2 linked regions of the Lepisosteus oculatus genome follow. The protein of the gene in region 2 interacts with the protein of the main gene of each other region in a biochemical or structural test. Links are inferred from orthologs where the notes say so. Each region holds a gene or a part of one and is shown on either strand. Other genes may lie near its edges. The genes, in order: zinc fingers and homeoboxes protein 1 and nuclear transcription factor Y subunit alpha.

Region 1 (16,310 bases), on a different chromosome or scaffold from region 2:
ATTTAACTGAGTAATAAATACATTTATAAAGCATCAATTATTTTTAAGGATTAGTTAACCACAAAATTACTTCTAAGGATTTTGCTCTTCCTGCTTTTCAATCTGTTGTTCAGAGATCAAGCAGCTTCACACTAGGCAGGTATACAGGTATCCCCTATCCCCATGTTCTGTTACAACTGTAAAGCCTTATCAACACAATAACTACGCCAACCAAGATGGGAGCTGAACCCTGCAAATCTGAAAACTTTTCAAAATCACGTTCTTAAGAACCATGGCACCAGCTGAATTGAACCCTGGCAGATTTCATCCAGAACAAAAGCTTTTTATTTAGGTTTGCACCCGAAAAGTCGCTACAATGACTTTGACAACCAAACAGGACATGGACACTGTGTCCTGTGGTGTAGTTTGACCTGCAAACTTCACAAGTATAATTCCTCTATCAACATGATAAATACAGTATGTCTAGGGTTCCTACATTAATCAGGATGGCTGCCTGACCCCTAATTTATCCTCTTATATATGCATATCCTGTACCTCCAACAACCCTTGGGCAAGAACTGTTTGATCGATGAACTCCTTAGTTTCTGTGCAGTTCACCTACAGTACATTGTTAAAATTGGGTAGTGACTTAATTGGCAGCTATGAAAACTGCCTGCTGTTTTCTCATTTAATTCTGTCATTATAAGGGGAGAGAAACTGAATGGGGGTAACATGAGAAGGATTTTGTGTGAAAAATATGACACAAAACACAAGCCAGTCATACCTTTCTAAATCTGTAGTACACGAACCTCTTAAAAGAGTAATTTAAATATCTCCTTCCATTGTATCATTTGAACAAAGACAAGGAGGTGCAAATATGGTCTGTACACATACTGTAACAGGGAACTCTGGAGTTAAATGCATTTAAAAAAAAATCTTCTTATAAAACTTTTGGTCTCTCAATGCTATTAGACAACCAGATTTAAGGTGGCAAATCATACTTCACCACCATAGTTTTAATCTAAGACAAAAGATAAAATAGTGGTCACTGTACCCAATGAAGTATGTGCACAGAGACTTTTAATACCCAATACCATTGGGTACCAAGGGTACAGATGTAATTAAGCTCCATTTTGGACAGATTCACTAATTAAACACTCTGTAAACAAGACAGGAATGCCTGCGCGTGTAACTTTGGCACCATAGACCCTCCAGTGGATACGAAGAGGACACTGATGTGCTACCTTCACGTCACCCTCGAACTCTGCTCTGAGCTTTGCTCAGCCTATTCCACATACAAATTATCAGCTTCCATTGCTTTCTTCAGTATAAATAAAAGGGCAATTCTGTAAAAATAAAATGAAAAACGTGATCAGAATAAGTTCATTTCAGAAAAATAATTTACTTTAAGGAGAAGTGTACTTGCGTACAATATTTTATGTCCCAGTACTATAAATAATTTTGAGTGGATTCTGTCTTTCAATAAAATAGATTTTAATCGCTAGGGGATTAAAACATGTATGTAGTCTTTTTGCAAGTACATTTGCAATTATTCTGAATGATTGTTTTCATAATAACAGTCATTTAAAAACAAATAACACTTAAAAAAAGCTAGTGAATTAACAGGAAATTAAATTATGAATTAAAAAATACTTATTTTGGAGTTAAATGTTTTATTGTTACAGCTATAGAATTGGTTTAAATGTCACAAACTGCATCTTTTTTTGTTTTACACAGCAGTCTAAATAATATCTTAGTCAATTACAAGTACAGCACGTTCAATGCATTTGGATATTAGAGAATATTTGCATAAAATACTGACAAAATAATAGCGTAATATTTCCTAATTATTTCTATATGTATTTGTTGAATTTTTTAAGATAAGTGTGATATAAGCATTCCCCATAGCTCTCTATTCTTCATAATAATTTCTCAAATGACTTTGCTGAACAAAGTGCACTGGAGTCTCTGTGTCAATTTGCTGGAATTCAAAACACACCAGGTAAAGAACAACATTATAACTCTATACTAATGATATTAAAGATGTGTTGCCTTGAAATGTGACTGTTTCAATAAAAAGAAAACTTTGTTCTTAAGTGGGTGTTATGAGTGATTATTCTTTCTCCTAGATCTCCTAAATTTGTGGAATTTTCAGTTTCTTATGAGACGGAGCAAAGTTTTTTGTCATCCATCTTTAAAGTACCTAAAAATGAACTTAAGGATATCTTTCATACAGCAATTTCCACTGAAATTATACAAATGCTGTAGCTTAAACAGATGATGGGATGTACAAATACCTCTCAGCACCGTATCATGATTTGTTTATGTTAATTCTAATAAAATTCATAATTAAACTCAAAACTGGGTATGGTGCTGATAGAATCCTGATGTTTCTCATACATTTCTGACGCACAGGCCTTAGGTATTTGCCAGTAGGAAAACTGGCAGCTCTCCCCCTCCAGGCAACTCACCTCGACGCTCACCTGGATTGGCGCTAATCCTCGGAGCCAGAGAGAGTGCGCCGGACACTTCGAGGAGGCTCCCAGGTCTCGCTGTCGTCCGTTTCGTCGTCTTCCTCATCGCCAGCAACGTCTTCGAGGCCCCCCGCTCCCGCCTCGCTTTCACCTTGCGATTCCTCCTCTTCCGGCTCCTCGTTCTCCACCCCATCGTCAAACGGGTCCGCACCCGTGTCCTCCCGCCTGTGCACCTCGGCGAACCAGTCCCGGACCTGCTCGTAGCCCATGTTGGATTTCGCCACCAGCTCGTCGAGGTCCTGCTCATTGAGGAACTTGTGTTTTAGGTAATACTCTTTAAGAATTTCTTTTCCAGTCTTAAACTTCATCACTGGTGGTGACCTACCCCAGCTAGATGACCTCTTGCCCGCCCTGGGTCTCCCTCTAGGCCTACCTCGCCCTCTATTTCGGGCTCTACCTCTTCCTCTCTTCCTGTATCCACTTCCATTTATAGCACTGATGTTGCCACTCTGGTAATAAAAGTACCATTTCAAGTTGCCGTTTTTCCAGGCATATCTTGTGTCTCCAAACCAGTTGACAATGTAGGACCTAGGAAGGCGGCTCTCTTCTGCGAGCTTATCATACTCCTCCGACGACGGCCACTGCGTGCGCACAAAGGCACTTTTCAAGACGTGGAGCTGCTCCGGGGTCTTTTTCCCGATCTTTTCTCTGCCCGACCTGCTCCTGCCGCTGGGGGGAGTTTGTGATGCCTGCTTGACGGCGACTGATTTCACAGGGTCGCTCTCCTTGCGTTCTGGCTTGGAATCAGTCGATTCCGGCGCCTTCCTCTTTTCCGTGAACCAGGCATCAATCTCCCGACGGGTCAGCTTGGTTTCAGACCTGAGTCGGCTGAGTTCTTCGTCTGTAGGTGTGGAGTTCTTCTGATAACTCTCCTCCAGTATCAGCAGCTGTTCGGGGGTCTTCTCTTTGAACTTCTGGAGTGTGAAGTCTGGGAATGGGTTCCAGGTCTGTTTCCGTGACTCTTTGACAGGGCCAGACGTAGGAGACTCTGTAGTTTCATCGCTCGAATCAATCACTATGGTGGCATTGTTGTTGACATTGTTGTTTTCATTGAAAACAATAACATGATTGTTCTTTGAGTTGCGCTGGTTGTAGCGCGTATCACTAAACCACTTCTTAATCTCGCCCTTTGTGAGATTGGTCAGTTTCATCAGCCTGGCTATCTCTGCATCACTGGCAAAGTGATTCTTCAGGTAGCTGGCCTTCAGCTCTGCAAGCTGCTCTTTAGACTTTTTAGGTCGCATTCCAAAATTATCAGCGCTCAGAGCAGAGTTCTCCTGAGGGGTCAGAGGAGGAGGCTGAACGGTGGTGGCCCTCTTTGTTTCCACTACAGTCGGGGTTGTCTGCATAGCAGGTTTTGGCAGATGTGTTTGATTGGGCACACCAGCTACTGCCAATGTGATGGGAGTGGTTACCGGTAAGGGATTGGTGCCACCAACTTGTGTCAGCACAAGGCCCGGCTGGCCAACTATCTGGCAGGTCTGTAGAATGGGCTGAAGGCCGTTGGCTGCCGCCGAGAGATGGGCAGGAATGACTGTGATTGTCTGTGGCACGGTGTGCACGGTGCCATTGAACTGCTTTCTCCTGGCTTCTTCCACCTCCTCTGGCGTCCAGCTCACACCGTGTTTGAGGCGCTGGGCAGAGAACCAGATCTTAATCTGCTCCTCTGTGTACTTTGTCTGCGCTGACAGCCCCATGATCTCCGACACCGAGGGGTAAGGGAACTTGTTGTAGGTGCTCACAAGAAGGGCATTGTTATCCATGGCCCCGTTGTAAGTTGGGATGCTGCTGACGGGTATCAGGAGCTGGGTTTGGGAATTCTGTTGGGCCTGGAGGGCCGACAGGACTTGAGCGAGCCCAGCTGGGAGAACGGTGGCAGAATTGATTATTGTCTTCTTTGGATCCTGCTGCGCGGAACTGTTGCTGACGACCACACTTGGCTTTACCGGTTCCATCGGGACCGGAGCCACCACCTCCACGGGAGCCGGCGTCCCGACAGGGGCCGTCTCCTTGGGCTCCTGTTCACCTTCGCTCTCATCCTTCACTTCATTCTCCTCAGCGGCCTTGTGGGGCACGGCGATCCTTTTGGGCTCCGCCTTGTTTTTCATCTTCATGATGGGGGTTTTGCTGAGCGGGATCCCAGTGGCCGTGGTGTCCTCGCCCCCTTCCTCGTTCTCCTGCTGCACAAAGCTGCCGTCGAAGGTCAGGTCGTTGACGGTCTGCTCAAAGATGGTCTGGTTATTGCGCTTCACCATGGTGCGGGTAAAATTGTCCTCCCCGGGATGGTAGCGCAAGTTGTGTTCTGAAAGTGCATCATACCTCTTGGTTAGAAAGTTGCACTCCACACAAACGTAGGAGGAGTTCAACACTACGTTGGGGTGCTCCGAATCCACGTGGAAGGTGAACATGTTCAGTTCCGTGGTCTGGAAGCTGCAGTATTTGCACTCGTATCCACCTTCCACCTTTTTAGAATCCATGGTTTCGATGTAGCGGTCCACATCCTGCATGTCTTCCTCGCTCGAGGCGTTTTCAGCTGGGACCGCAGCGCTTTCTGAGGGTGTTTCCACTGGGGCGTCGGTGCCTTCTTCCAGCTCCGTTATCATCTCCATATCCGGGTCCTGCTCCCCTGCTTCTGTGGGAAGGACCATGCAAGGGGTAGTGGACTTCCGTTTGCTCGCCATTGTGTGACCGTCCCCCCTCCCGAAAAGGCAGCGTTCATCAAATGACGAGTTGTCAGCCCGGCCCTCTTTTGTTTCTCAGGGGCAGCTCATTGTAGATTTACAAACCTCATTTCATTGCCAAGATTTTTGCGTCCCTGAAACAGGAAAAGAAAAAAAAACGCATATAATTCTGAAACTTCAAAAGCATCTTTCAAAGTCAGATGGACTTTTGAATTTGCATTGTTTTGGATTTAATATGACTGTGTTTGTGAAACTGAATGCAACAGGCAGGCTGATACGAAAACCTTATTGTAGAAGTGGGTGAATAAACAGGTTAACATTTAGATTTATCATAATATAAATAATCAATTATCCTAATACTTATATAGTGGTTTTTTGGACCCTCAAATCAAAGCACTTTAAGGCTAATGGGGGCTCCCCTCCACAAGTGTGCAGCACCACCTGGATGATGCGATGACAGCCATAGTGCACCAGAATACTCACCACACACCAGCTCTCAGTGGGGAGGAGAGCAGAGTGATGAAGCCAATTCATAGATGGGGATTATTAGGAGGCCATGATTGGAAAAGGCCAATGGGAAATTTGGCCAGGACGCAGCGGTATCACCCCTACACTTTTTGAAAAACACCCTGGGATTTTTAATGACCACGGAGAGTCAAGACCTTGGATTAAAGTCTCATCCAAAGGACGGCGCCTTTTTAAGAGTATAGTGTCTCCGTCACTATACTGGGGCATTAGGACCCACACAGACTGCAGGGTGAGCGCCCCCTGCTGGCCCCACTAACACCTCTGCCAGCAGCCACCTTAGTTTTTACTTAGTTTTTATCCCATCCAGGTACTAACCAGGGAGATAACAGTTGTGAGTTGCTGTGTGATATAGCTTGGTGGAGCAGTGGCACTGTGGCTAAGGATCTGCGCCTGTGGCTGGAAGGTTGCCGGTTCAAATCCCATGGCTGGCAGAGGAATCCTACTCTGATGGGCCCCTGAGCAAGGCCCTTAAACCCAGCTGCTCCAGGGGCGCCGTACAATGGCTGACCCTGTGCTCTGACCCCAAGCTTCTCTCTGTCTGTGTGTCTGTGTCTCATGGAGAGCAAGCTGGGTTATGTGAAAAGACGAATTCCTGATGCAAGAAATTGTATGTGGCCAATAAAGTGATCTCTCTCTCTTATATCTTGGTAGCCCTTTGTTAATGCTACTTGTATAAAATCAGTTATTGTTGTTATTATTGACGTGATGTGAACTACTTAGAATCTGCTGGAAGGAATGTTATATATGTTTTTCTTAAATCTTAGTAAAAACAGATTTACTGAGGAAACGGAAAAACACTTCTGTTGACGCTGCAGTGCCTGATTAGTGTAATTAAATTACTGTAATGCTGTTAGCAGAGAGGTTGCAATCATGAGATTTTCAACAAGCGGTCATCTAGGAGATACGACAAAAGCTATTTTTTGAAAATGTCCTCTCAGAATGTTTTTTTTTTTTCCTCAGTTGCCCTTTCAAATAAGCTCCAAGAATATCCTGGGTCACATACACTACGTAGCACCAGACTGCCTTCACTAACACCACTTCCTGAGTACCGAGAAACACTTCACATTTATTTTGGATTCTCGGCCAAGCTAAGGCGACAGGTTGTGAGATGCGTTCCGGATCAAGCAATTACAACAGCACAACCCGTCGAGTTTACGTCGGGCTATATAATAATACACCTTACTGTTTCGTAAGAGACTACAAGGACGGAAAATCACAGGGCACTCATCGTAATAAACAAAGGTATTCGCGAAAGACAAAACCGCGCAGGCGCACATCACTGGCATGCACGATTACTCTTACTGTAACACATAAAAAAGAATAAGAAAAGGAAATGGGGTTAGCTCAGGCTGCCTCGCACATACTTTCAATATAAATGAACGTCTCAAGCGATATTAACGGAATAAGTCTGTGTAATACTAAGCTTTCGAAACTATTACGCTAGAAGCTATACTTCCAGCGTTTTAAGCAAAAAATGCACAAAAGCATTCCTGTTTTCTTGCATCTCCATTACATTTTTACACTAAATAACCAGGTACTCATACGTTTAAGTATGTACACCCTAGGTGTGTGTTTTTAGGGAAATGTACGAAGCCAGCCCAATTATTCGCTTGATCTTTATATATAGGACGTAAGTTCAAAGTTCGGAATACTTCATGCCAGAAGGGATGTCGCCTTTACATTACAAAAAAACAAAAACATAGATATAAAGCAAGGCAATACGTCCACCGTCAAAACTGTTCACAAGCGATACAAGAGGCGACGGTAGGTTGACTAAGCCAATGCAGAATAAACTAATATGGTCTATGTAAATCTCCACATGTAAGCAATACGCTTAGATGCAACGGCGATTCATATTTATCTAGAAACAGAATTACGCTCTTTAACTTCTTATGATGCATATAAAGACCACTGAAGAAAGCCCGTGATCCATGGCCACTGTCTGTTCTCTTCCGTCTCCAGCACACTGTACTGGCTGGTGAAAGGGCTCCCCTCCTTCCTCACCCACCCCCAAAAAACCATCCTGTACCAACTGGGACGTGTGTGTGACAACAGTGATTCACCGCCCGCAAGGCCGACGTATGCAACACCCGTACATGACTTGGATACCTACCAGTATGAAGAGTTACGTGCGCTGGTACACTAGTGCAGTTGTTGCTGGGCTGGAACAGCGGAGGCAGGCGAGATGAAGTGCTGCCGCTTGATGCGGCCAGAGATGCACAACAAAAATACAGTTACAGGGCGCTTTTCCAGCTGCGCAGCGCTCTCCGGCGCTTTCAGCGGCGCTTCGCGTCCTTTCAGGCGTCGATCAGAACAGACACGTCAGTGAAACCACGGCGATCGGCATGATATTTGATAAAGACCGTTACAGTATGTGTCAATTCAGAAGGGTATTTTTTTTAATCACCCGGGCGTCACCATCGATGAAATACGTTCCGCGTCATCGCAAAGCGACTTACCCCGACTTCGTTTTTTTTGCCTACCCGATTTCCTGCAGCGAGTCGCGCTGCTCAGGCGGGGGGGCGGGGACGTGGGCGTGGCCTCTCCCAGTGTCCTTTGTGAGTGGACGACACCTTAGAGACTGCCCGGCCCCCAAAGGCTGGAAACGCCCCTCACCTTGTGGCAGCCCGGCAGGTAAACGGGTGTATGAAGACCAGCGGGAGATTGAAGTTTATCAACGACACAACACATGCAAGTCCAGGCAGCAATTGTAATGTTTATTTTGCCGAGTCTCTTGAAAGCGGGGTTTCTTTACTTTGCTGTGCAAGAATTATGCTCCTGCGACCACATGCTGCAGCTATCTCGCTTAGGACATAATCCTCTTAAGAGGTGCAAATTTCCAGCGAACGTGTCCAGCAAAACACCCATCACCCCATTCCTAAACAGGAGTTACTCATTGACCCGAGTCACACAACGCCTTGAGTTTGATCTTTTATCTAGATCTATGCACACAGACGTCTGGCTAGAATGATGTTGCAATTGATTTTTTTATTGTTGATAATCCCTTGAACTTTTTTTGCTTCACTTAGTATAACGTTATTGTTGTCCTATTGATATATTCTCTATCGGCGCAGCCCGTGATAGACATATCTCTCGGGTCACCCAGGGCGGGGCTTCACGATTTCGGGTAGGAAAGAGGGTGACGCAGCCCGGCCGCCCTACACCCTCACCTCACACCTACGTAGGAGCGCCTGTAGATACCGGCAGAAAGGGCGGCATCTGCCGTCTGTTAGAAGCTTTACGTTTCATTACGCTAAAAGGCGGATAGCCAGTCTTCCAGATAATGGCAAATAATAGTTCTAATATCATAAATTCTACACTGTCTGGTAAAGCTTACATACCACACTGAGAAAAAAAAATACTATGCAAAGATCCTGCTTAGATACCCACTGTACCCTATGCAGGACTCTAAGGTGTATATTACAGATGACCTAAAATGACAAAACATATCAAGTGTAACGTGTAAAGGAAACTTGGAAGACAAAAAAAAAACCCTTGTCATATGAAAGTCATCCCAGGTGGATAGAAACGAAGACCTAAATGTACAATATCACACCACCCCGTGAAGAGGGACAGAAAGGGCATGGAATGATTTCATAGCGACACCGTGAGCCCCCTGCAGGGCTGTGACCGCAAGGACAGCCTAGTCAGGAGCGACGTCTTAAAGCAAAACCAAAGGACAAAATAACCATGACGTAGAATGATGGGTTCTATAGTTTGTGGTGTAGTTAAAAATCGCTTCAAGTGTGATTAAGGCTCTGCAGACACTGGGAACCCAGTGGCTGTAGGATACATTGTTTTATTAATGGCAGTCCTTCGGTTACGGAATTGCCCCTGAGCAAGGCATGACTTTCCCCGACAAGTGATGAGCCCTGGAGTCTGCAGTGAAGGTCTGAAGCCCTGCAGCTACAATTTATTCATTACTCAGCAGGACTGCTTCGTGAAGATTAGGTGGGGTTACATTCATTCATATACAAAGCACCTCTGCAATCTGGCTTGTGATGTTTCTACCCAGCACCCTAAAAAAAAAAATTTCTACAGCTTTGTACACTGCCGACTGACATTCTGTTTTTTGCGCTGTTGCAAACTACTAAATGTCACAAAAATATCAGAGTACAATAACCACGAACAAAGGTCTGAGAAAACTCAAGTACAGCCTAGTATATTACAGTATTACAGTAACCAGGCCACTAAAAATGTAGGCCTTGCTATATAGACCAAGGCCTATAAACCAACTATACTATAGGGCAGTATTTATTTCCACAATGACAACAAAGAAGCTGATACTCTGTTGCATCACTTGCTTCAGCTTAAAAAAGGGGTCTTTAGTGGAACACAAAGAGGTTTAGTACTGCTCAGTGGGCATCAGACGTTACAAGAAAAACAACTACAAGAACTGGATTGCTAAAGCATTTAATGAACTTTAAGCCAAATAACACTTCACCCAGAAATCTCTAAATGTACTTAAAATTCTAGTAAAATAAACACTTTATAGTTTATAGTCTTAAGCTCTGTACAATATTTAATAAGAAACTGCAATGCCTTTTTGACACCTGCTTCATTTATTTTGGAAAAAAAGTCAGAAAAGTTAAGTGAAGTTCTCAATTTCTTTTTTCATTTCCTGTAAAAAAAGAAGAAAAGGACAATTTATTCTTCATTCAGAAACCAAGAACAAATCTGCCATATTTCCCACATCACACTTAAGCTTTGACTCACAATGTAAGTAATTAAAGTTTACGTCAAACAAATCTTCCTTTTGCACATATTACTTGATAATGTATATAAGCAACGGCATATTTGGCTTGTGATGTTTCTAAGAAGACACAGACAAGGGAGAAATTTCAAGTTGTTTTTGGAACTGCTGAATTCAGAAGCAATGTACATTTCTTGAATTTAGTCAACATCTTTCAACAGGATCCATTATCTTGTCCATTAGATAGTCTCGGTCTTTTCTACCATTAAACAAGACGCTTAAAACCTTCGGGTATAAAACCCTTATTGTACCTGTATTAGTGCAGTCTTGTCGTAATTTCTCCGATGTCTATAAATGCACTGACAGAGCAGAGCATAAAGCTTCTCCAGCTGATACACCTCAAATCCCTCAGTCTTGGCAATCACCCGGTCCAGTAAATTCTATTAAAAAAAAGAGCCTCGTTATTTCACTCACATCCGTTTCAGAGAAACAAATCAAGTTAGTGAAAGCAATCATCTCCTCTTGACCTTTCCTTCAGTGCAGCCTTTTGTTGTTCAAGACAAAGAATTTTAGAGTTGTGCAGAAAGGGCTGTTCTGTTTTTATAATTGATATATTTTAGATTCAAGACCTGTATTGTTCTGTAAGCAAGTTATTTTGGAATCTGGTTAATAAGGGGTTAAGTTAGTGCTCATTTCATTATCATTATATTTAGAACATATTGTTACAGCTTTAGGTGACTTAGAAGTGTCTCTTAGATTTCAGAAACAGTTTATGACACTGGGAAGAATAAATTAAATACTTCTAACTTCAAAGGAGAGAGGATGTTTGCTGAGGTCTGGGGATCCGTTGAGCAGAAACAATGCTAAAGTTTTGCTAAAGGCGAGAGCACCTACTTCCTGATCATCCAAATCAAACCTTACTGGAGCTAAGTATTTGAACCTTGTTAGAGAGAACGTGCTTTTCTGTGTTTTTATGGAACTTGGGTTTCCTGGGTAAAAGATACCTCAGTTAGAAACGTCTTTCATTAGGGTGCATTTTTATGGATAGGGATATAGGCTCCCATTTATTTTGTGGCATCCAGGGTGCAGGGAGATTTAACTGCAGGTTACTTTGTATTTAGTTAGAAGGCAGCTCATCACTTGTGTGTAGGCATATTAAGAGTTTAGTGCTTAGTGGCAATCTGGGGATTTATGGGTGAGCAGAAAGTTAGGCCTCTGAAATGCCTCGTTTGTAAATACTGTATATAATGTAACTTTGTGTGTTGTATGTTTTGTGTCTTGTATAGTTTATTGTAATAAATATTTATTTTAACCAAGTGTGCCTGGATTATTACTCCTCTCAGCAAAGCTGTGCCAGAGAATAAATAATTCACGTGCCTCTAGTTATACCAGCCACTCGGGTAATTGCTAGAAATCTCTTACAAGTCGAGAGTTATGAATAATTATTTCAATTGTTGACTAAACCACTCAGTCAAATACTGATTTTCACCATTTTCATAACCCCCCCCCTGTAACAATATTTTAAGTTCTATGCAAGCTTAATTATATTATTATAACATTTGAATGATCTTTTTCACCTAAAGTTGAAGACACCAAACCAAAATAAAATATTTCACACTCTTCTTAATTCTGAAGTACTAATGCCTGTTATTGGAAGTGTTCTGAAAATGGCAAAATACTGGTTTTACAGCTGGCTGTTTTTAAACAACACCAAATTGTTGTCATTGTAAACCTCCCCTCCCCCCCCCCAGATTGAAACACTGTAATCCTTTGTGCACAATGTAAAATTGTGATTTTACATTGCACAGAAAAATGTTAACTAGGGACATAGAGAGAAAATTTTGCTGATCAGCCGAGAGGATACCTTCAGCTTCTGGTGATCAACGACTAGCTGTGGGGTCACTTCTGAGAGGATCTTCATGGCTTTCTCCACGTTGATCAGCTGCTGCTGCTCGACCTGAGAGCGCCGGCCTCGCGTCATGCGCAGGGCATTCTTCTCTGCAGGCACAGGCGGACAGGATGACAGTCACTACACGTTATTAGCAGACAGTACGCACATAGAAACGACTCCTTGGTTGTTTCCTTGAAGACCTGCACTGTCTTCTGATTAAAAAAAAACATTAACAGGTTTTTTCAAAATCACTTAATACACCTCTATCCCTGCATATTCTCCAAGACATATTTTTAAAAATGGTTATGAAATCTCTTAAACTCTAGACTGTTTAAATGTCCTTTTCCCCCTATGTAGACAGAGGTGAAAAAGTGTTTACATGAATGACAACTATGAAGCTTGTGCCACACCACCATTCTTTTAAGCCTCACTACTGTATACCTTTCTCCATCTCCACCCCTAACATGCAATGGTGCTACAGCTTTCACTTGGGGCAGAAACCAAACATACTGCTGTGGTTTAATGCAACACATAGTCCAGTCAATCAAGACAAACACACAGCAAAGAGGCAGATGCACATGTAGATTATTAGGAACAAGTACAGGTTAATTCCTCTCCAAAAAAATAAGAAGCAAAAAGGACTGTTTCAAATGCAGAGTGTTCTTCAAGTGTGTACTACCCAATAAGGATCTGCAACCAAAATGTTATTTTGCATTTTATTTTCCAACATGGACTTAACCTCTGTGTTTCTCTGCAGCACGCATGATGACACAACTACACAACCGAACGTTATTCTATAGCTGTCAATATGAAGTGAAGTATGTTCCAAAACCTAAAAAAGAAAAGCACTGATTAAACTGAAACCAAGTTCAGGGCAGTGAATGTAGCCATCAGCTCTACACACCTCTGGGTTCTTCCTGATTGTCTGTTCCATCAGACTCTGCAGGGGTGGAAGGCAGTTTCTCTGCCTGGTGTTCAAGTTGTGCAGGTTCATCAGTTATTGGGTGCTTCGCTTTTATGTTCTCAGGAGCTTCAAGATCACCCTCCCCTGCGGAGTCCTCACAGCGCTCCAGCTCAATCGGCTCCAGACTGGACCCGTTGCTAAGTAACGCGTCAAGTTCATCACAATCTTCGCTCTCGGCTACTTCTTCCGCCTTCTCCTCTCCTTCTAACCCGAGTCCATTCACGCCCTCTTTGGAGGTTGCAGATGAAGTCTTTTTCTTGGCAATAAAGCCATTACTCCACCGGCATCTCCTGCGCTTTCTTTTCAGAACTGCTACTGGCACATCGATTTTTGATGTGTGGGAAATAATTTCATAGACTTGTAAGGTTGCACATATGGTGTCTGATGCATCACTAATATTACCAATACCTACAGTAACCTCCTGAAAGCTAATGTCATTTCTAAATTGAGATATTGTGTGATAATCTCAGATACAACTTTTAATACTGAAAATAGTCCTCATAGAGAACTCTCTGCATGCTGTCCGGGTATATGGCTTGTTCTTATCCTGTTCTCACTAGTAGTGAACTCCCGGCAGCTTGTTCTTATCCTGTTCTCACTCATAGTGAACTCCCTGCGTGCTGTCCTGGGATATGGCTTGTTCTTATCCTGTTCTCACTCGTAGTGAACTCCCTGCATGCTGTCCTGGGATATGGCTTATTCTTATCCTGTTCTCACTCGTAGTGAACTCCCTGCATGCTGTCCTGGGATATGGCTTGTTCTTATCCTGTTTCTCACTCGTAGTGAACTCCCTGCATGCTGTCCTGGGATATGGCTTATTCTTATCCTGTTCTCACTCGTAGTGAACTCCCTGCATGCTGTCCTGGGATATGGCTTGTTCTTATCCTGTTCTCACTCGTTGTGAACTCCCTGCGTGCTGTCCTGGTATATGGCTTGTTCTTATCCTGTTCTCACTTGTAGTGAACTCCCTGCGTGCTGTCCTGGTATATGGCTTGTTCTTATCCTGTTTCTCACTCGTAGTGAACTCCCTGCATGCTGTCCTGGTATATGGCTTGTTCTTATCCTGTTCTCACTGATAATGAACTCCCTGCAGCTTGTCCTTATCCTGTTCTCACTTTAGTGAACTCCCTGCATGCTGTCCTGATATATGGCTTGTCCTCATTCTCAGCAACATCCCTGCGTACTGTCTTGGTATATGACTTGCCCTTTTCACTGGTCCTATGCTCACCATTTCCACAGCGGTAAAACACCACTGAATGTCATGTGAGCTGTAAATCATTCATGATCTGCTAAATATTATTGTTCTCTTTCCCACTTATGCTTAAGTTCTCAGTGGTTAAAATCCATCTGATTTTTACTTACTGATTTTTAGAGCAGCATACCAAGGTAAATGCGCTACTAATGATGAGGTCTTCTAGAAACAGACATTTCTTGACTATTACATTTATCTTTCTTTTAATGAGTTATCTCCTTTCTTTAATAAGTCTTCATCCTCCATGCAGGTTTTACTGAAGCATTTAAGTCTTACCTTGGTACAAAAATGTACCTTAAATAACACTTAAAATTAAAAATTGTGACCGTAAATTCTCACCTTGAGGGCGTGGAGTACTTGTGGTTACAGGTGCTGCAGATGTTTGGACAGAGTCCTTAGCTACGTTAGACTCATTTTTCTTGGAATCAGTAGAATTAGTCTGCTTTGGAAGCACGTGGTAATAGGATGGAGCAAACTGTGAAGTTGAAAAGCCTTTAAAAATAAAAAAAAACTAGTTACAAAACATTTTACTACTTAAGAAACATGAATAGAGGGCAATCAGACCATCTTTCTCATTTGGTAACTTAGTACATAAAGTGAATAAACATTTCGAACAGCAGCCTCATGATTATACCACTTGGCTGGAAAGCACGTTCCTGATACCAACAACTCTTTGCGTATACAGTAGAAGTGTTTCTTAAACAGACTCCCTTTTAACTTCCATTTGTGGAGCTGTGCAACTGTTTCACTGTCAAGTTTGACCATATTGACCCCATCCACACCCTTTAGGATACTGTATATCTTGATCTAATCTCATCTCATCTTCAACTTCAAATATGTAACACCTTTAACAAATCTGTAAAGGACAATCGCTGAGAGCAGGAAATTATTTCTTGTTGTTTTCTGAACTCCTTCGAAAGCTATATTATGATTTTTGTGGTATGCTGACCAAAAATAATTATTAATAATTGTAAATTAAATATTAATCTTATAAATTAGTGCTGCCTTGAGTATTACTCACGCATTACTTATTATCAATACACTTTACCTCACTGTTCCAGAGAACAAAGAAAACATGCCTATCAGTTGCTGCTTGGAAGGTGGGCAGCAACTGTTAACCTTATGTTTTACCTCATTTATTCAACATATTTGCACCCCCTAGCTTTTTACAATATCATGTATGGTGACCAACTATACAATGTCACATGCTTTAGTGTTATCAGGTGTGCTTGGTGTTTGTTTAAAGAATGTTTAATATGTTAAACAATGTCTGGGAATACGCATAGATGTTACTCGGTATAAACAGGTAATTTACTTTCTTCACAGGTTACAGGTTTTTGGTGCTAGTAGTCAGATCGCCTCCATGTTTTTCAGTTCCATGATGAAATTATAATCCGGTATGGTACCACAGTCTTTTGTGCAACAAAAAACAAAGGTATCCAGACTCTAATAATATTTGTATAGAATTATACTCATTTCCCATTTGTAACAAATATTATAAACCACAGGGTTGCAGCCGAACAATAAAGACCTCAACTTAAAATAGCTAAGAGTGCATGAAAAATAAGCTTGCAGATTTTGTTTTACTTCTCTGACATGTAATTTCTTTTACCAGCAGAATATATGCCCTTGACCTGGCAGACATGTACCAACATGACAGAATTTCCTATGACAGCTTCAAAAGACACCTAATTCTAGAGATTCAGAATTCAGTGGGAAAAAATAAGTGAAGGAAAACAGAAAATTAGGGAGAGATTTCTCTTTCATTTCTTAATCCCTCCTGCCACA
Region 2 (16,129 bases):
GTTAGTTTTTTGTCTTTATGGTTTGAGTTGACTGAGGATGTATTCCAAACTGACAAAGCCCTGGCCTGGGAGAGATAAAAACAATTAACCAGATTGTTTTCTGTGCAGGAGAGAGAACTAATACTGAAGCACAGCTGCTAAAGTGCACTGATTGTGTGGGAAAGAACTGCATTTCAGCTTTGCATCATTTAAGCTTTATCACATGTAAACACAAATGATTTTCACTTGATAGATGACTTCTTATATCATGACAACAGGAGAATTAAGACGGTGTCACTAGAGATTCACTTTGCTCCTCTTAGACCCAATGGAGACATTGGAATGATCCATTTTCGCAGTGCCGTGACTTCATTATAAAGCACCAGGATGTCTACAGGCAGCTCAGTGGCTGTGGCGGTGCCTGACCTGGCTCTGCCCTGCGGTGACGGCAGTCTGCGGCTGCTGGATGATGATCTGCTGGGCCTGACCCTGCTGCCCCTGCACCTGGACCGCCTGTCCGCCCTGGATCTGAATCTGCCCCGGCTGCACCAGCTGAATCTGAACACACGCAGACAAAGGGGATACAAGGGTCGCCTTCTCCTCACTGCAAAGCTGGGTGCTGAAGATGGCGTGCAAAACCAGGGCTGCTCTCCAGCAGGATGGCAACAGTCAAGAACAAAATGAGCACACTCACAAGCTGGGTCTGCAGTCTATTCATTAAGCGATTCCTAAGTCTTCCAAACCCTTTTAGGTAATTTTTAGATTCAATATAATAAAAACAATGTTTTCAATGAAAGGAAAAACCATTCTTGCTGCCACAGAGAAACTCTGCTGGGTTGAAATGTGTTTCCTGTTTTGTGATGTACAATTATTGAGACTTGCAGAGGCATTTTTATGTGCAACTGTTTTAACAGTTGTGCGCTTCAATGTTTTCTGCTTGTTTGGAACTGATTTAACCCAATGGGTAAGAGGGGGGAATCTCCAAACTTTAAGGGATTTGGAATTCAGTGCCATGAGAACAACTTGCTTGTATATATGCCTGCTTCATGTTAAATGAAAAAATAAAACATTCCAGTGGTGAACAGCACTAATGTGGAGTACTCTGGCTATTAACAAAACACAAAACACATTAGGTTTTTAATGCTCTCATTGATTTTTTTAAATATAAATCTATATATTCAACCCCAAAGCACAGCACTGGTGATCTGCAATTCCAGAAACAGATCAAACTGATGTGCGGCTTAAGTCTTATTCCCAGAAAATTGTATTAGGAGAACAAGTGCTGTTTAAAACAGAGACTGCTCACCTGCTGCAGACCCTGTGCTCCAGAGACAGGCACCTGCATGATGGTCTGGCCCTGACTTCCAGGGACTGCCTGAACCATGATTGGCTGGCCAGAAGAAGTGATGAGCTGGCCGCCACTCACCTGCACCATCAGCGGCTGACCCTGAACCTGCGGGGAAGAGGGAAGAGACGCAACCACATTGAAGAATCAGCTGGAGGGACACAGAGCGTTATACAGTGCACGCTGCACAACAGTGGAGCCACATGCATTTAAAACTGACGAACCGCTGTGTAGGGGATGTGGGGTGGCACTGATCAGGTGGCATGATGCAGCATTCATGATACAGCAAAAAAAAAGTAGACTTCATCTACTCCTCAGGCCACAGACAGCACAGTTACTGAGCAATGTCCACAATGGACTCAGCAAAGACAGCTTGAGATGAGAATGATGAAAAAAACAATTATACACTTATGCACAGTGAGCGCTGCTAGCAGGCAGGAGCACAGCTTTGACATCTTCCTGACATATTTACACAGCAGGACAACCATGCACATCTGTTGTCCCTTTTATACAGAACATGCAGGATGGGACCTCCTGTAAATATACCTTTTTTAAAATAATATCTGTATATCCTGTTCCTCACCAAGTCATGATAATTTTTCTTATTTCGTTATAAAACATCGCATCTGATCAAACTGTGGACATTTTTTTTTAAAAGAATGACAGGTCGTCAAACATTCAAGGTTAAGAGGGACCACTGGTACAAGCACACATGTTAGCGGTGCAACTAGTTCTATGAACGAAGTTGTGTTTTACCTTTTTATCCTTTATTACTCCAAATATACATATATCCACGCACATGTTATCAGTTGTCAAATCCTATCCTAGCAACACTTTGTCCATGGATGGATGGGCAATTCATAACACTCCATCAACTTATCTAGCACATCTTGGCACAGGGGCGCATCTGGAAAAATCCCATGCAAACGTGGCAAGAACAAGCGAACTCCACCCAGAGAAGTGCCTGGGGCTCAAATCAGAACTGTGGGAGATATAAGGCAGCAATGTCCAGCGACACTAGCATGCTGCCTCCAAATAATGCAGTTTGCTAAATAATCTGAAGACATATAACTCCCAATTACTCCCCTACTGGATGAAGGACACTGGGTTCTATATCCTGGGATTCTACTCTCAAGACTTGCACTCCTCTATCCCACTATAATGCAGCGTGCTCTACATTTAATACTGTGTATAGGAGTTGCTAGGCAGCATTTATTTTTTGCATGCCTAGCTGAATATGAGGTGTTCCTAAACTACTGATCTTCCATCTACATCCTCCAACCATCTATTAGGTATGCAGCACCGTTTTATCCTACCTATTTCTTCCTTTGTCTTGATCAGAGTCTGAAGCCCTGGTCTTGGAGATTCTAAGGGTCCTCTTACAATTTTCTCAAACTGAACTCTAAAGACCTCAACTGGGCAAGCCAGGTGCTCATGTTAATTTTCCAGTCCTCCGCTGACTGAACTTTCAAGGCTCCTAAGAAAACCTGCAGTAAATCCTGGACCACAATTGATAAACAGTGGCCCTAGCATATTCTCACTGCCAACTGCGAGTCTGTTAAGCTTTCTTAAACACCGGATACAAAGAGTGTCAACAGAATAAAGACATTCAATTTCTATCTGTCAATCAAGGATCTCTGCTGTGAGATGCCAGGGATTCTATGCCAAAGTTGGTATCTAGTTAAGCTTATATTCAATATTTAGCACAGCAAAGCTCTTCAGGATACTTCTTTGACACAGGTCACTGCATGATTCCTCAGGCAAATGTCATGATGCAGGTGCACGCTTTTTTATGGCCCAAAGGTCACAATGCAAAACATTCAATGAGCGATGACAGATCTCCAATGATGCGGCTCAGTTGGGGTCACTGCACAGTCAAGCCAAGTTGTGCAGAAGCTGCCAAGATAAAACGAGTGCAGCCCTGCCTCCCATTTCTATGGAACCTGAGGTCCGCTGAGTGGTATGTATGTCCTGCAGTGTGCAATAATTCAACAGCATGCTGGGCATTCCTTGGCTGTTTTGCTTCTCTTGATGTCTTATAATCTAAACAGTCCAGGTCTTTGATTTAACCAGTGGCGCTAAAGCTTTATAAATGTTAAGTAAAATGCTTAAAACGGCCTATGAACTCATCTTAATGGTCCTGCACTTAACTGAAGCATGATGTAAGCCCCTTTTACCCTTAAAATGCTCTAGGATGAAAAGCACTTCTGCAATGCAAAGTATTAGTAAGTCAATTAAAAAAGAAAACTGCCTGAACCTGACTGAGAATAAATACCACTGGCAAGAACGCGAAAGTATGGGTTTGGACTTTCTGATTCTGTTTAAAGCAAACCTCCTAGAGTGTCTGCAGGAAGTAGAAACTAGTTTAGAGCTCGTGGCTCAGATTTGAAGAGGAACATGGCTAAGAGAGTCCCGAGAGGCAAGAAGCATCGGGCAGGGTTGTCATGCAGCACGGCGGACGACGACGCAGCTGGATTTCACACCACTACCTGGAGCGTCTGCACAGGCTGGGCCGAAGCCGAAGCCACCTGTGCTTCTGTCTGCAGCTGGACAGCGGTCACCGTGCCCTGCGACCGGAAACAATGCACATTACCACACTGTGTCCCGCAGCTGCCTCCTGGCGCTGTCCACGCCCACATGGCCAGGAACTGGCACACCAAAATAAAGGATCCTACAGTCTGGGGCTCTGCCAGACTGTATATAAAAACAATAAAAACGGAGCTTCCTAATATAGCAGGGATGTCCAATTTATCCCTAAGATACCTCTGCATCCATCCAAGATATGATCAGCAGCTTTCAGCACATCCTTAAGGATCAGGTCATACATGATGCACAAGATTAAACTACCGGACAAAGAAGGGCTTGAGCCTGCACCATTTTTTACAACAGGGCTCTATAAAGTTTGTGAAATGGTTTATCCTGCACCTTCCTTTCTGCTGAAAAAAAAAACAGGAGATGAAGTGTATTCTCAGCTAGGCCCCACACGCTAGAAGGTCCAAACAGATGAACTGTGACACATACAAGAAGAGTTTGATTAACGTTTTTTTGTTAAGAGCCAACAGAGCCCCAATGTGCCTGAAATTCTTAAGAGACAAACATTTTTAGCCTGTTTAAAAAGAGAAAGATGGCTGGGCTTTTGAACAGACTTAAAAGACAAAAATGAGAAAAGGGTAAGGGAATAAATTATCTGAGAAATAGATCATCTGACAGAAAAAAAGTTAGGGATATAGTAAAAACATAATTCACAACCTTTAAAACATAATTTTGTTTAGATAAATTAAGAACATGTTTAAGAGCAACATTTTTCTACATTCAAAAACAATTTTACTTGACCTGAAAACCCATGGCTAGAACAGCACCTGGGGTACTTCTGAGTGCTGGAGGGCCAGTGTGTCTGCAGGTTTTCTAGGACTATAAAAACCTGAGAGGTGTTGATGAATTGGTCCAACTAGGCCAATAGTGAGCTTTTTTAGGTCATTAAGATCTGAGCTGGGATGAAATCCAATTGGTATCCAGAAACCTTCAAACCAAAATAGGACTGAGGGCTCTTATTTATCTCCGATTCCACCACAAGCTGAAGCCGCAGTCTGTCAGATCCAGGTCAGCGTGATTGTACCTTTCCCAATCAAGAGTTGCCATACCTGTTGCTGGATCTGCCCTGGAGCGGCCTGAACCACGATCTGCTCCCCACTGCTACTGCTGGTGGTGGTGTACTGCTCCATTGCCAAGCCCCCGTCCACCTTCAGGTCTCTTTAAAACAATCCGATTCTGACATGGGAAACACAAAGAAACACCAGGTCATGCACAGAAAACCAGAAACCACTTTTTCACAAAGCAGCCTCCTCCCGGGAAATAATGGCATATGGGTAACTAATTTGGAACTAGCAGTTAGCCGGTTATGTAAAAACTGTACAATGTTGTTAATGCCTTCTGATGTTGGTTTTGTGTTAATTTATAGGTCTTTTTGAAATTGGTAGAAACATAAAACATTAACAGAAGTGGACAAAAGTACACAAATTACTAGCCCGTTCTTTTTACATAAAAACATATTACATGCTGAGCTGTGGGCAGGGCATAGGGGCAGACGTTTCGCAGCAGCAGCGACAGTTCTGGTCTCGTTACTGAAAGGTTATATATTATGACCTGTATAAACGGGTACAAATGTAACTGGCTCCAGATAAATGTTAGAAAAACAGCAATAATTTTTAAACAATAATTCCATATTTCCTTCCATTTTATAGTGTCTTGCATATCAAAGGCTCACAAAGCACTTTATGGTAAATATGTATGCATACATATAGGAGAGGATTCACTCCACTCACTCAGAATGGAAGCAATTCTGCACCAGCAGCCCCACACAGGAGGTCTGGTGAAGAACGGTAAAGCTATTTTTCCAGAGTGCTGGGATTTTCACCTGCTTCAGTTTTCAAAACATAACTGCTTTAAAATTGATGTCTTAAGGGTCACCCATAAAGACTGCTGGATTGTGGCTCGCCACTTACTGGGAGACCAGGACCAGGGCTGCCCATTCTTGTCACACACACATGATATATATGCGAAGATGTTCAAGTAGGTAGCTGTGTCAGCATGCGTAGGCTACAAAGGAACAAGTAAAGGTTTGTTCCATGCTGAAAAGATATACAACGTGTGGGGTGTGGAGTCTTCTTCAGAAACGTTGCCTCTTTTCTTGGAATAAACCTTTACTTGTTCCTTTGCACACACACAGCAGTGTAAAGGTGCTAATAGAGAATGACAACTGTGCATTATGGAGAGCGGAGTTTAGCTGGACACCCGTGTGACTGGGGTAGCTGGGTTTGTGACGAACCCCCGTTTCTCTCTCTCCCAGGCAGAAAGCCCCCGGGCGGCGCTATACAAGACCTGGCACATTCTCCGCATCGTGCCTCTGTTATGAGAAGGCCACGTGTTCATCCTAAAGCGAGTCCACCGTTCTGTTGACTGAATAACGACATGCGCTGGGTGCATTAGGTACCCCCAACTGAGTGCACCCAGGTAATCTGCGTTGTGCAAAGCCCTCGTAGCAGGCTGAATCACAATCGTTACACAAGAGCACGCAAATGCAAAGAAAGCATCTGCTCTCCAGCGACTATAAGGAGGATAACCTCGGCAAACCCACTCAAACTTTTGTTTTCAAGTCATATTTAGATCACATTTTAATCTTAGATTAACACGAAAAGGCGCTCGAGGTGTAGACGCCATTTTCCCCCGTCAGAGTGCAGTCGAGCTACTGCTTCCAACTGACCCGAGTCGGGGGTTGTAATCCATGTAATATAATATAAACATTTTTTAAACGCTCACAAATTCACAAATGCTGTTTAAAGCTGATTCTAAGTGCTTTGCTAATGCTACACTACCAAATACGCGTGGAGTCTCAATTCGTATCGGTTCAGGACCGTTTTTTCACTTGTCTCCCATAATGTTTTGGAAAACAACTGTTCCAAACGGATTTAAGCGTCTATTAAGAGCCCTAAAGGCTTTAACTTTATTTTATAGAGCAGGTCCAGCTACAACCCGTTGTTTTAGGGCGTCTTGTGACGGGGCTGGCAGAGCACAGAACCCTGCAAAGACTCGTCATATTACTTAAAACAAAAACAGAAAACGTCCATAAAACCGGGACTTAATAGGTTTCCAAGATGGCTGATATTTTAATTTTGACGAACTATTTTAAAGACTTTAAAAAATACCCAGAAACATCGTGTTGTGTCGTATCTGCGCAGCAATTACTCAAAACCCCCTGTTTGTTACGCGTATGGGTACAAATCTCATATTTATTCAGTTATATAACCTACAATCCCAACCCATTACCGAACTGGGAAACATCATCCGTAAGGTCCGTCTCTGAACTGGGGCGAGGGGTTACCCCCTCTCTTTAAAGAGAATAAGATCGTCAACTAAAGCATTTATCAACGAGCGAAGAAGCAATAATTGTACCGCTAGTTCAGCGGTTCATCTCCACCTTCATCAACGGTTACTTGTTATGTCCGCGTTGGGCTTTTCTGCTTAATAAAAACCCAGATCTGAGCGCTTTATCCCACACTGTAAGGACAAAGGCGACTCTGTGTCCCCACTACACCCTCTCCTTTTTACAGATGCGTAGTTTTAGCCGACTGCATCCCCTACTGGAGTTAGAAACACGGTCCTCTGTGGGTAGATTTTAAGTGTTTTATTTCTTCTAAGAGGCGCCTTTGCGCAGTACACCGTGCGAAGGTCGCCTGGAGCCCAGCAACCCTGCCGCACACGGCGGGGCGGGCAGTGGTGGGAACCGGCTGCCCCAGCCCGGAGAAAACCGGGCCTTTTCTTCCCCCCACACGCCAGACCCCGAGAAATAAAGACGGGTCCCGCTGACGGTCCGCTTCAGCAGCCTTTTCAGGACGGGCCCTTCGCCCCCCATCCGCCATCTCAAGCCAATTTGTGCGCGTCTCCGGCTAGGTGTCTTTATGGTATTTTTAATTCCTGTATTTTTGTGGTGTTAGTAATTTGGTTGGTCAGTGACACACCAATCCCCTGCTGCCGGCTCCCAGCCCCTCCAAGCCGCGCTCTCTCTCACCGTTTCTCCGCCGCCCCGGTTCCCCTCTGATTGGCTCCAGTACCGATCCCCGAAACCCAATCACCGAGCTTACGGCGAGCGAACAAAATGGCGCAGCGCGGTCTGCACCGACAAATAGGACAACTTCGTCTCCCCGCCCCCCTGCCCGGAAGCTGCGCAGGCGCACTGTCAGCCGCTGAGCAGGGCATGGCCGCTGGGCAGGCGCATTACCGCCGGCGAGCCGAGCGAGGCACCTGCGCTGTAACAGGCTCGTGGGGGAGGAGGCTGGTATGAATATTTTATACAAGTACAGACTGAAGCTTTAGGATATCGGTATTAATTTATAGTCCAAACACCTGAACCTCTCACTGTACTCCTAAAATAGGCCGTGACATCAATAAACCTTCGAATTTGATTTTTTTAGCCACAACCTATGCAGTTCATATCAGTTTTTAGCTCAATCCAATTGAAAAACGTTATCTCACTTATTTGTTTTGAAGTCCATCTGGATGTTTCATGTTTGTTGTGTGTGCATGTTAGGGATGAAGTTAATACAGTTTTGTTCAGTTTCCTTGCAAGAAATATGAACACAAAAACCACCAGATATCCCTCTTATTAGACGCTTTTCATTTAAAAAATAAGAATACTGAATATAGTGTAAAACAATATAATCAGTACCTCCAGTTTGTGGATGTACGTTTGGAAAGTATTTTTTTTAAAAAAACGTAATCAAGTTATAACCATTCTTCTTTGGATCACTCCATATCTTCTTCAGATAAAAAGCCTCTAGATTGCTTAGGGGTTTTCCATTTGTGAAGTGGGTCTATTAAGGGTCATTGCCTGTACTGTGCTCAAAATGGATGCGGCAGTTTGGAGGTGTCCGCCATGTTGAATTTGCTCCTCCCACCTCCCCGTCACAAAGCCTAGGAAAGGCAGTCGCACATCGCACAGTGTAAATGGTCGATTTATCCGTGAAGGCTGGGTTAATCAACCGTCGTTCCTGATGAAAACGTGCGTTTGGCGTCTTTTCTTATGTTAAACAACTGCGTAGACGGTATGTATTTATAAAAACCTGGTATAGGCCCTTTATAACGCAAAATAGAGTTATGCTTTAGTTACAGCTGCTTTCGCCCTGTAATGTCAGTACACACATATCGGAGTATTATTGCTGCGGTGCTGTCGAAATGAAGTTTTGCTTCCCGACTTAAAGCTTCTTTAGCATTGGTGTAAAAATAGACATTTAAGGTTTGTGTTTTTGGTCAGTGAAAAATTGTGAAAACCCTATGATCTCCCTGATATCCTAGCAGGTACTGTTGTTGATGAAGATGTGTCTGTAATCAACTCCCTTTCAGAAGAAATGACATTTTGGTCAACCCAGTTACTCAGAGGACACCACGATTTCCATGTTTAAACTTAAAATGAACGAAGAGGAGAGAGAGTATATTACAATGACACAAATGTTTGCGAGATCAGCGCTGCCTTGCAATCAGGATTTGGTTGCCGTTGGCACGTTAACTAGTTTGTAGATCGTTACTTTTAGGGAACATTATTTCTGTCTTCCAGACGGCTCCCAGGTCCACTCAGATTGCTTTCCAAATGAGTCTATGAGTAAGGCCCATGGGCCTTAATGGCCTGAAAAGGGACCTTTGTAAGAACAAAAGTTCTTTGTAAAACATCGTAATCCAGCGTTTTACTAAAGAGGCTGCTGAAAACACCACGGTGAAAAAAGTTTTATAACCATAACAAATAATGAACATTCAAAACTAAAATAATAATAAAAATCCTAATTCCTGTGTAAAAACATTTTAATGGAAAATTTCAGCTGGTTTTAATTAAAGGGAAATGTCGCACCATCTTCTCCGATAAAGCTGGTAACTTCAGGAGCTGTCCAGCGGCGTGATGTTTCTCAGGGCCGTGTCCTCCCTGACGGGGCTCAGCAGGCCTGGCCGGGCCTCTGTCCTGCTGAAACGGGCCCCACCAGCCTTCGGGTTTCCAGAACCGGCCCCTGGTCTCGGGCAGTCCAGCCGGCAGGAGCGGTCTTGGGCCGGCAGGGTGTCGGGGGCGGAACTGGTCCCAAATCCTGACCGGAGGAGAAGGGAGCTGGATCTGTTCCTGGAGGATGGCCCAGAGGACCTGGAGGAGCTGGCGGGAGAAGTGGTCAGGTGAGAGGGCACACTCTTGTTTCCCCTTCGCACCCGTGCGCCACGGACCAGGCAGCCTCCTCTCGTTAGCAACCTTACCTGTTGTAATTCTGTTAGTCATTCTGCACGGCCTTGCACAGAGGTGAGCAGTGTTGTCTTGCAGCGCTGGGGCCCTGGTTCAGCTCCTGGGGTGCTATTTGCATAGTGTTCGTACGTTCTCCCCATGTTATTGTGGGTTTCCTCTGGGGGCCCTGGTTTCCTCCCACAGTCCCGAGACATACTGGAAGGCGAAGTGGCTTCTGGGAAGATTGGCTCTGGTGTGAGTGTGTGTGTTTGTGCATGCCCTGCAATGTAGTGGCATCCTGTCCAGGGTGTACCCTGCCTTGGACAGGCTCCGGCCTCCCTGTGATACTTGATTGGGTGAAGCAGGCAGAAAATGGATGGATGTTCTGATGTTGCAATTCATCATATCTGGTTGATCGTATGTCTAAATGAAGGAAGGAAAGTTTCCCTACTTGTCCTTTAAGAGGCATCTTCCTGGCTGCCTGCAGCAGCAATGACTGAGTTTCTCTGTGTCCCTGAGAGCATTGTCAGTGATGACAAAGACAATTCATAATAATAATTCATTAAACTTATACAGCACTTTTCTGGATACTCCACTCAAAGCGCTTTACAGGTAATGGGGATCCCCTCCACCATCACCAATGTGCATTCCCACCTGGATGATGTGACAGCAGCCATAGTGCGCCATAATGCTTACCACACACCAGCTATCAGTGGGGAGGAGAACAGAGTGATGAAGCTAGTTCATAGATGGGGATTATTAGGAGGCCAAGATTGGTAAAGGCAATTGGGAAATCTTTACCAAGATTTCCCAGGATGCCCGGGTAACACTCACTCTTTTTGCGAAACACAACCACAGAGAATCAGGACCTCTCATCCAAAGGACGGTGTCCTTTTTACAGTATAGTGTCCCCATCACACTACTGGGGCAATAGGGTGAGGAGCCCCCTGCTGGTCCCACTAACACCTCTACCAGCAGCAACCTTAGTTTTTCCCAGGAGGTCTCCCATGCAGGTACTGGCCAGGCTCCCACCTGCTGAGCCTCACTGGGCTGCCAGTTGTGGGTTGCAGGGTGATACGGCTGCTGGCGATTAAACAGGCTGCTGCTCTGTGGAGTCCTGGCCTCTGTCTGTATGTTCCCAGTACTGCTCCACAGTCTCCAACATTCATCCGTAAAACTTGGAGGGACTCCTGTCTCCTGCAGTGCCGAACGGAGGAAACGGAAGGCAACGAAGCTCCGCAGGCTGGCGAAGCAGTTCTCCCCACCTGGCCCCCCAGAGAGGAGGCTGACCTGGGACGCCATGGAGCAGATCAGGTGAGGGGGCGCCAGTGAGCATGTGCACAGGACCCTCAGCAGACTGCTGGCAGCCAGATCCCTGCAGGCGTCTGCCGCAGCCCCCTGCCACGTTTCTCAGCAGGAAGGGAAGGCAGGAGGAAAACACTGCCGTAACTAACGATCCGATCCGCTGGATTTTCCACCGTCTAGGCTGATCCGAGACATGGATCCCCAAGATTTACGGCATTTGTGTAACATCCAAAATACATTTAAATTAAATATTAATTCCTACATAAAAATGAGTTTTAAATTTAAAATGGGTGCATTGTTGCACAACGGCAGCATGTGTCCTTTTAAGAGAAAATAATCAAGATCTTCATTTTGTGCTGACACCTAAAACAAGATACCTTAGAAACTGCAATTCTGCCTCCTTCAGACATGTCAACCTTCTAATGCATTGTATAACTTTGATGTATTTTCAGACACAAACAATAGATATACATTCAGGACAACAATAGAAATGCCTGTATAATCATGTACAATAAAATGTATTGCAGAAAATATATACTCAAATATGAAATAAGATTTTGTTTTGGATAATTAAGATCCAGCAGATAGCAGCATGATGTGTTGGAAAAAGTCTAAAGTGACAGTGGCTCGTTAAGGTTCTAATTGTCACTGCAGACTCCCTGCATGTCTGCCGTAGCCTAACGAGCGTGACTCGTTATTAGACTTGAAAAACAAGCCATGGAGGGCAGTAGGTAGATTGACATTTACTGAATGCGGTAGAGCTTCAGTTTCTAAGGTAATGAACTCACAGTACTTTTTTAGCTGTTAAAACAAACTGAAGACTGTGATTATTTAGTCTTAAAAGGACACGAGTCAATGCCTCAAACAAGCCAGCTCTGCCATGTCTTTGAAGTTGAAAGTGCTCTGTCTTTCTGGAAATGGCTGAATGATATCCTCAGATCATATAGCTACTAATGACTGCGTGAAGGATGGGCTGAATAACTTCCTAGTTTTTCACCCATGTCCATATGTAAATATATTTGTGAAATGCAATTTCTGTGGCCTTCTCCACCATGATCACAGCCACTGGTGTCTGAGCTTAGCAGCAGCTTGTCTTGTCTCACCTGGAATCCTAGCCCTCTACAGATTTGGCAGCAGGTCTGTTTCACTCCCTGTTTCCTCGCAGGTACCTGAACCGTGACACTCCTGAGGAGTGGACAGTGGGCCGGCTGGCTGAGGGGTTTGGCGTCAGCTCCGATGTCATCCATAGGGTACTGAGGAGTAAGTTCATTCCTCCGCCAGAGAGGCAGCAGAAGCAAGATGGCAGGGTCTTTGCCAGAACGGGATGCCAGTCTCTCCTGGGCAGCGTCAAGCAAGATGCAAGGCTGGCCCAGGTGCCAGCCACGGCGGCAGCCATGTTGACCCCAGGGGTGGGAGAGGTGCAGGCCGAGAGAGGCGGCTCAAGTTTGGCTTTAGGACAGGAAGCAACAGCGGTCCTCTTGGCCTCTCCCAGAGGAACTCTGGCTCCTCATGGCACAGCCCGGCTGGGCGTCCCGGCCACTCAGGACCCCCCACGTCTGGGCAAGATTTCCGAGAGCAGCCAGGACATCACCCCAGGAGAGGAGGAGGGTGTGAGGGTCCTGGATGACGAGGAGCTGGAAAAGCTCTTAGCAAACCCTTCCCCTAAACCGCTGGAGGTGGTTCAAGTTGGGAGCGAGTTCTACGATGGTGAAGGTAACTTCCTGTACAGAATATGAGTGCTCTGTTCTCCGCTTTGGGGCAGAAGATGAGACTGCCACTGTCCTGCTAAACACAGCCTGAAGAAGTACCCAGCTCATCTGTGGGCTGCTGAGTGTGGTTTGCCTCCCACATCCACAGCATAAGAAAGCACCTCGGTGGAGTGATGTACCTCCAGGACAGGAAGAAATACATCTAGATGGCGGGGCTCGTGTGGGGAGAGGGGGGGTGGGTGATGGTTATTTTTAGCAGCACACTACACTGTAGGATTGCAGTCCAAAATGTCAGTTTTGAGCAAATTCCTCCCTCACCGAGTTATCATTATATGACGATACCTGCCCGATTTAGTTAGATATTTCAAACTTTGCCTTTAAAGTTTAGCTCATACTTGTTTCCCTCATTAGTGAAATGCTTCCCACTGATGAATTCGAGCCCCGTGTCTGTGTAACTGCCAGACTGTGGGTAACCAGCAGCCCCTGCTTTCCCTGGCTGCTCTGAATCAAGGGCAAGGAAACCTTGACATGTTTCTGTGTTTGCGGTTACCAGCCTGTGAGCTTTTCCCAACGTCGGTCACTAAATTGAGCTCAATTGACCCAAGTCTTGAAGATCTCCTCTGTAGTTAATGAGCCAGATGAAAAAAACCTAACAGGAGGGATGGGCTGTCTTCCCCTGCTCTAAATTTTCTACTGATTCAGGGCTGTAGGCGACGAGAGGGTTAATTTCCCTGTAATGCAGAGGAATTCAGATGCTGGTTTTGTTTTTGTCCCTTTGTGGCCACTTTTACTGCTTCTCCCAGCTCTTCAGGTGCTGCTGTATTAAAGGAGGTCTAATAAAACCGACCTTTCAGAGCCAGGACTGGCACAGGCCTGCCAGATGGTTGTTCTCCAAAGCCTGACTAGCTGAGCACCGAGTTGGAATGCCTTCACTGGAGACTGATAAGTCTAACAATGGGAAAGTATAGATGATTGAGTGACATCCATGCATTAAGATAAGATCATTTTATTGGCCATATACAATTTCTTGTAATTAGGAATGTCTTTTTTCACATACCCCAACTAGCTCCTCAGACACATAGACAGGGAGAGAAGCTTGGGGTCAGAGGGCAGGGTCAGGCCTTTATACGGCACCCCTGCAGCAGTGGGGGTTAAGGGCCTTGCTCAGGGGCCCAACGGAGTAGGATTGCTCTGCTGGAAGTAAGATACGCCGATACGAACCGGCAACCTTCCAGCCGCAGAGCCACTGTACCGCATTAAAATAGCTACAAATGAGCCTGTGTTTTGGAATGTTTTTTTTCCCCCAATAAAAAGCAGAGGCATTATCATTTTGTTTTTATTGTCAATTTGAAAAGAAAAAACCTGCTTTGCAAAGAAAAGTACCAGTAATGTTTTTTGTAAACCAAACATTTTCAGATTTTTTTTCCCCAAATATACAGAAATAAACAGCCAGTCCAAAGGTAGAACAGTCATTTTATGTAGCGACCACATTTAACCCTATCTACATACAATTACAGAGAAAGAATGGAAAACAGTTTCCTCTGTCTTCATTACAGCTTTTCCATAGCTGGCACTTTTATCAGAAACCCAACCCCAACATCTTGAGATTCCATTCTCATCCACCCTCCGTCAGCCATGAATGAGGAAGAGGGGTATAAAGCCTGTTGATAAGCTAATATGGTAAAAATGCAAAAATGAACAACTCCAGTACTTGAGGGAAGGAATCCAGCAGGTTTTCCAAGTCTCTACAAAAATCAACAGGTGAACTACTATTGGATCAGTTCAAGTTAACATTAACAGGAAATCATTGAGATCACTGAAGAGTTTGTACAAACACCTACAGGCCCCACCCCATGTCAGCACAGGAGCTGTGCAGCTCTGGTATAATTATTCAAAAATGAATTATCTTTACTCTCACCAGACTCCAGGAAACAAAATTATTTATTAATAATTCCCCCTTCTCTGAAAACTCCCAAAGCGTATGTCCTCTACATCTGAAATGTGGAACGCATTACTTAGATCACTGCTCTGGAGGGTGTGAGAAGCAGCATGTGAGGCTTGCTGAAAGCCGCTGTGTGTCGGACTGAACCAGATCTGCACGCCTGTGCAAGTTCTAGGAACTAAGTAAGCGGAAGTAAGCAAGGGACAAAGATGCCAGCTTTGCAGCCATATTGATGAGGAGCTTGGTGCGGAACCTTCCACCTCGCTTCCTGCAAGGCGATCATGATCTTCCCTGTTCTTCCACCCCCAAGATTCTGGGTACTTGGTATTTCTTTTGTAGTAGCCTAGGGCTGCCCATTACTGGTTTTTGTCCCCCACCCCCAGATTTATTTACCCATTGAAGCTCATCATTTGGGCAGGTTGAACACAATGCTGCTGGACTGTGGCCTTTGGGGACAGGAGCTGGGTGCATCTTTCCCTACAGAGGGATTCTTTCAGAGCCACAACAAGACCTTGGAGATGCCTTCTTCAATCAAACATGCCTTAACTCCAGTACTGCAGAAGAGTACATACAGGCAAAAAAAATATCCAAGTCCACGGAAATATGAAATCAGTTTTTGTCCCAAAAAAGGTCAGTTTGGAACAAACCAAATAAGCTACAGATCAACTGTTAGGGTACTAGGTAATAGGTAATTGTGTCAGTTTTCATGCTCTTTAAGTCATTACTAAACCAGTTTTAACTGCTTTCATGGTCTACAGGACACAGGTATTTTTCACACAGGCACTTTTGCAAGGTGAGCTAAAGAAAACAAAATGAAGTACATTCACACGCTGACAGGCTGAGCCGATGCCATAATAGTGTAAGGGACACCGCGCCACCCTGCCTCTCCGAGTCTTCAGTGGGTACACGAGCCTGCATTCCCTGGGGACACAGTTGCATCTGTGCCTGCCTGGCTGTGTGGGCTGGTGGGGTTTGAGCAGACAGCCTTAAGCCCCTTCTGCCCGTTTGGCCACAAAAGAAACGTTACTTTTCATGCACACGAGGCTGCAGAAGGTGTGTCCAGACCACAAAGAGTTGGACAGACGTTGAAACGCAACCCA

The links.
Region 1: the proteins of nuclear transcription factor Y subunit alpha (region 2) and zinc fingers and homeoboxes protein 1 form a complex in vitro, tested with the Homo sapiens proteins (2 studies listed by BioGRID). The link is inferred for Lepisosteus oculatus from reciprocal best matches to the Homo sapiens genes NFYA and ZHX1.

The regions. Positions count from the first base shown.
Region 1 is NC_090705.1:10,705,579-10,721,888, reverse strand, and holds the start of zinc fingers and homeoboxes protein 1, read right to left. Parts: upstream 8,891-16,310; 5' UTR 7,836-8,890; intron 7,727-7,835; exon of another isoform or gene 7,600-7,726; intron 7,587-7,599; exon of another isoform or gene 5,678-7,586; intron 5,329-5,677; 5' UTR 5,195-5,328; coding exon 2,474-5,194; 3' UTR 2,451-2,473; intron 1,326-2,450; 3' UTR 1-1,325. Other genes in the region: ATPase family AAA domain-containing protein 2, read right to left, coding at 10,311-10,343, 10,727-10,855, 12,280-12,413, 13,211-13,582, 14,862-15,014. UniProt on the Homo sapiens protein: Acts as a transcriptional repressor. Increases DNMT3B-mediated repressive transcriptional activity when DNMT3B is tethered to DNA. May link molecule between DNMT3B and other co-repressor proteins.
Region 2 is NC_090700.1:39,807,695-39,823,823, forward strand, and holds the start of nuclear transcription factor Y subunit alpha, read right to left. Parts: upstream 8,014-16,129; 5' UTR 7,890-8,013; exon of another isoform or gene 7,840-7,889; intron 7,268-7,839; exon of another isoform or gene 6,203-7,267; intron 5,093-6,202; 5' UTR 5,047-5,092; coding exon 4,966-5,046; intron 3,892-4,965; coding exon 3,811-3,891; intron 1,433-3,810; coding exon 1,286-1,432; intron 538-1,285; coding exon 406-537; intron 1-405. Other genes in the region: ngrn (neugrin), read left to right, coding at 9,768-10,030, 11,277-11,387, 12,544-13,114. UniProt on the Homo sapiens protein: Component of the sequence-specific heterotrimeric transcription factor (NF-Y) which specifically recognizes a 5'-CCAAT-3' box motif found in the promoters of its target genes.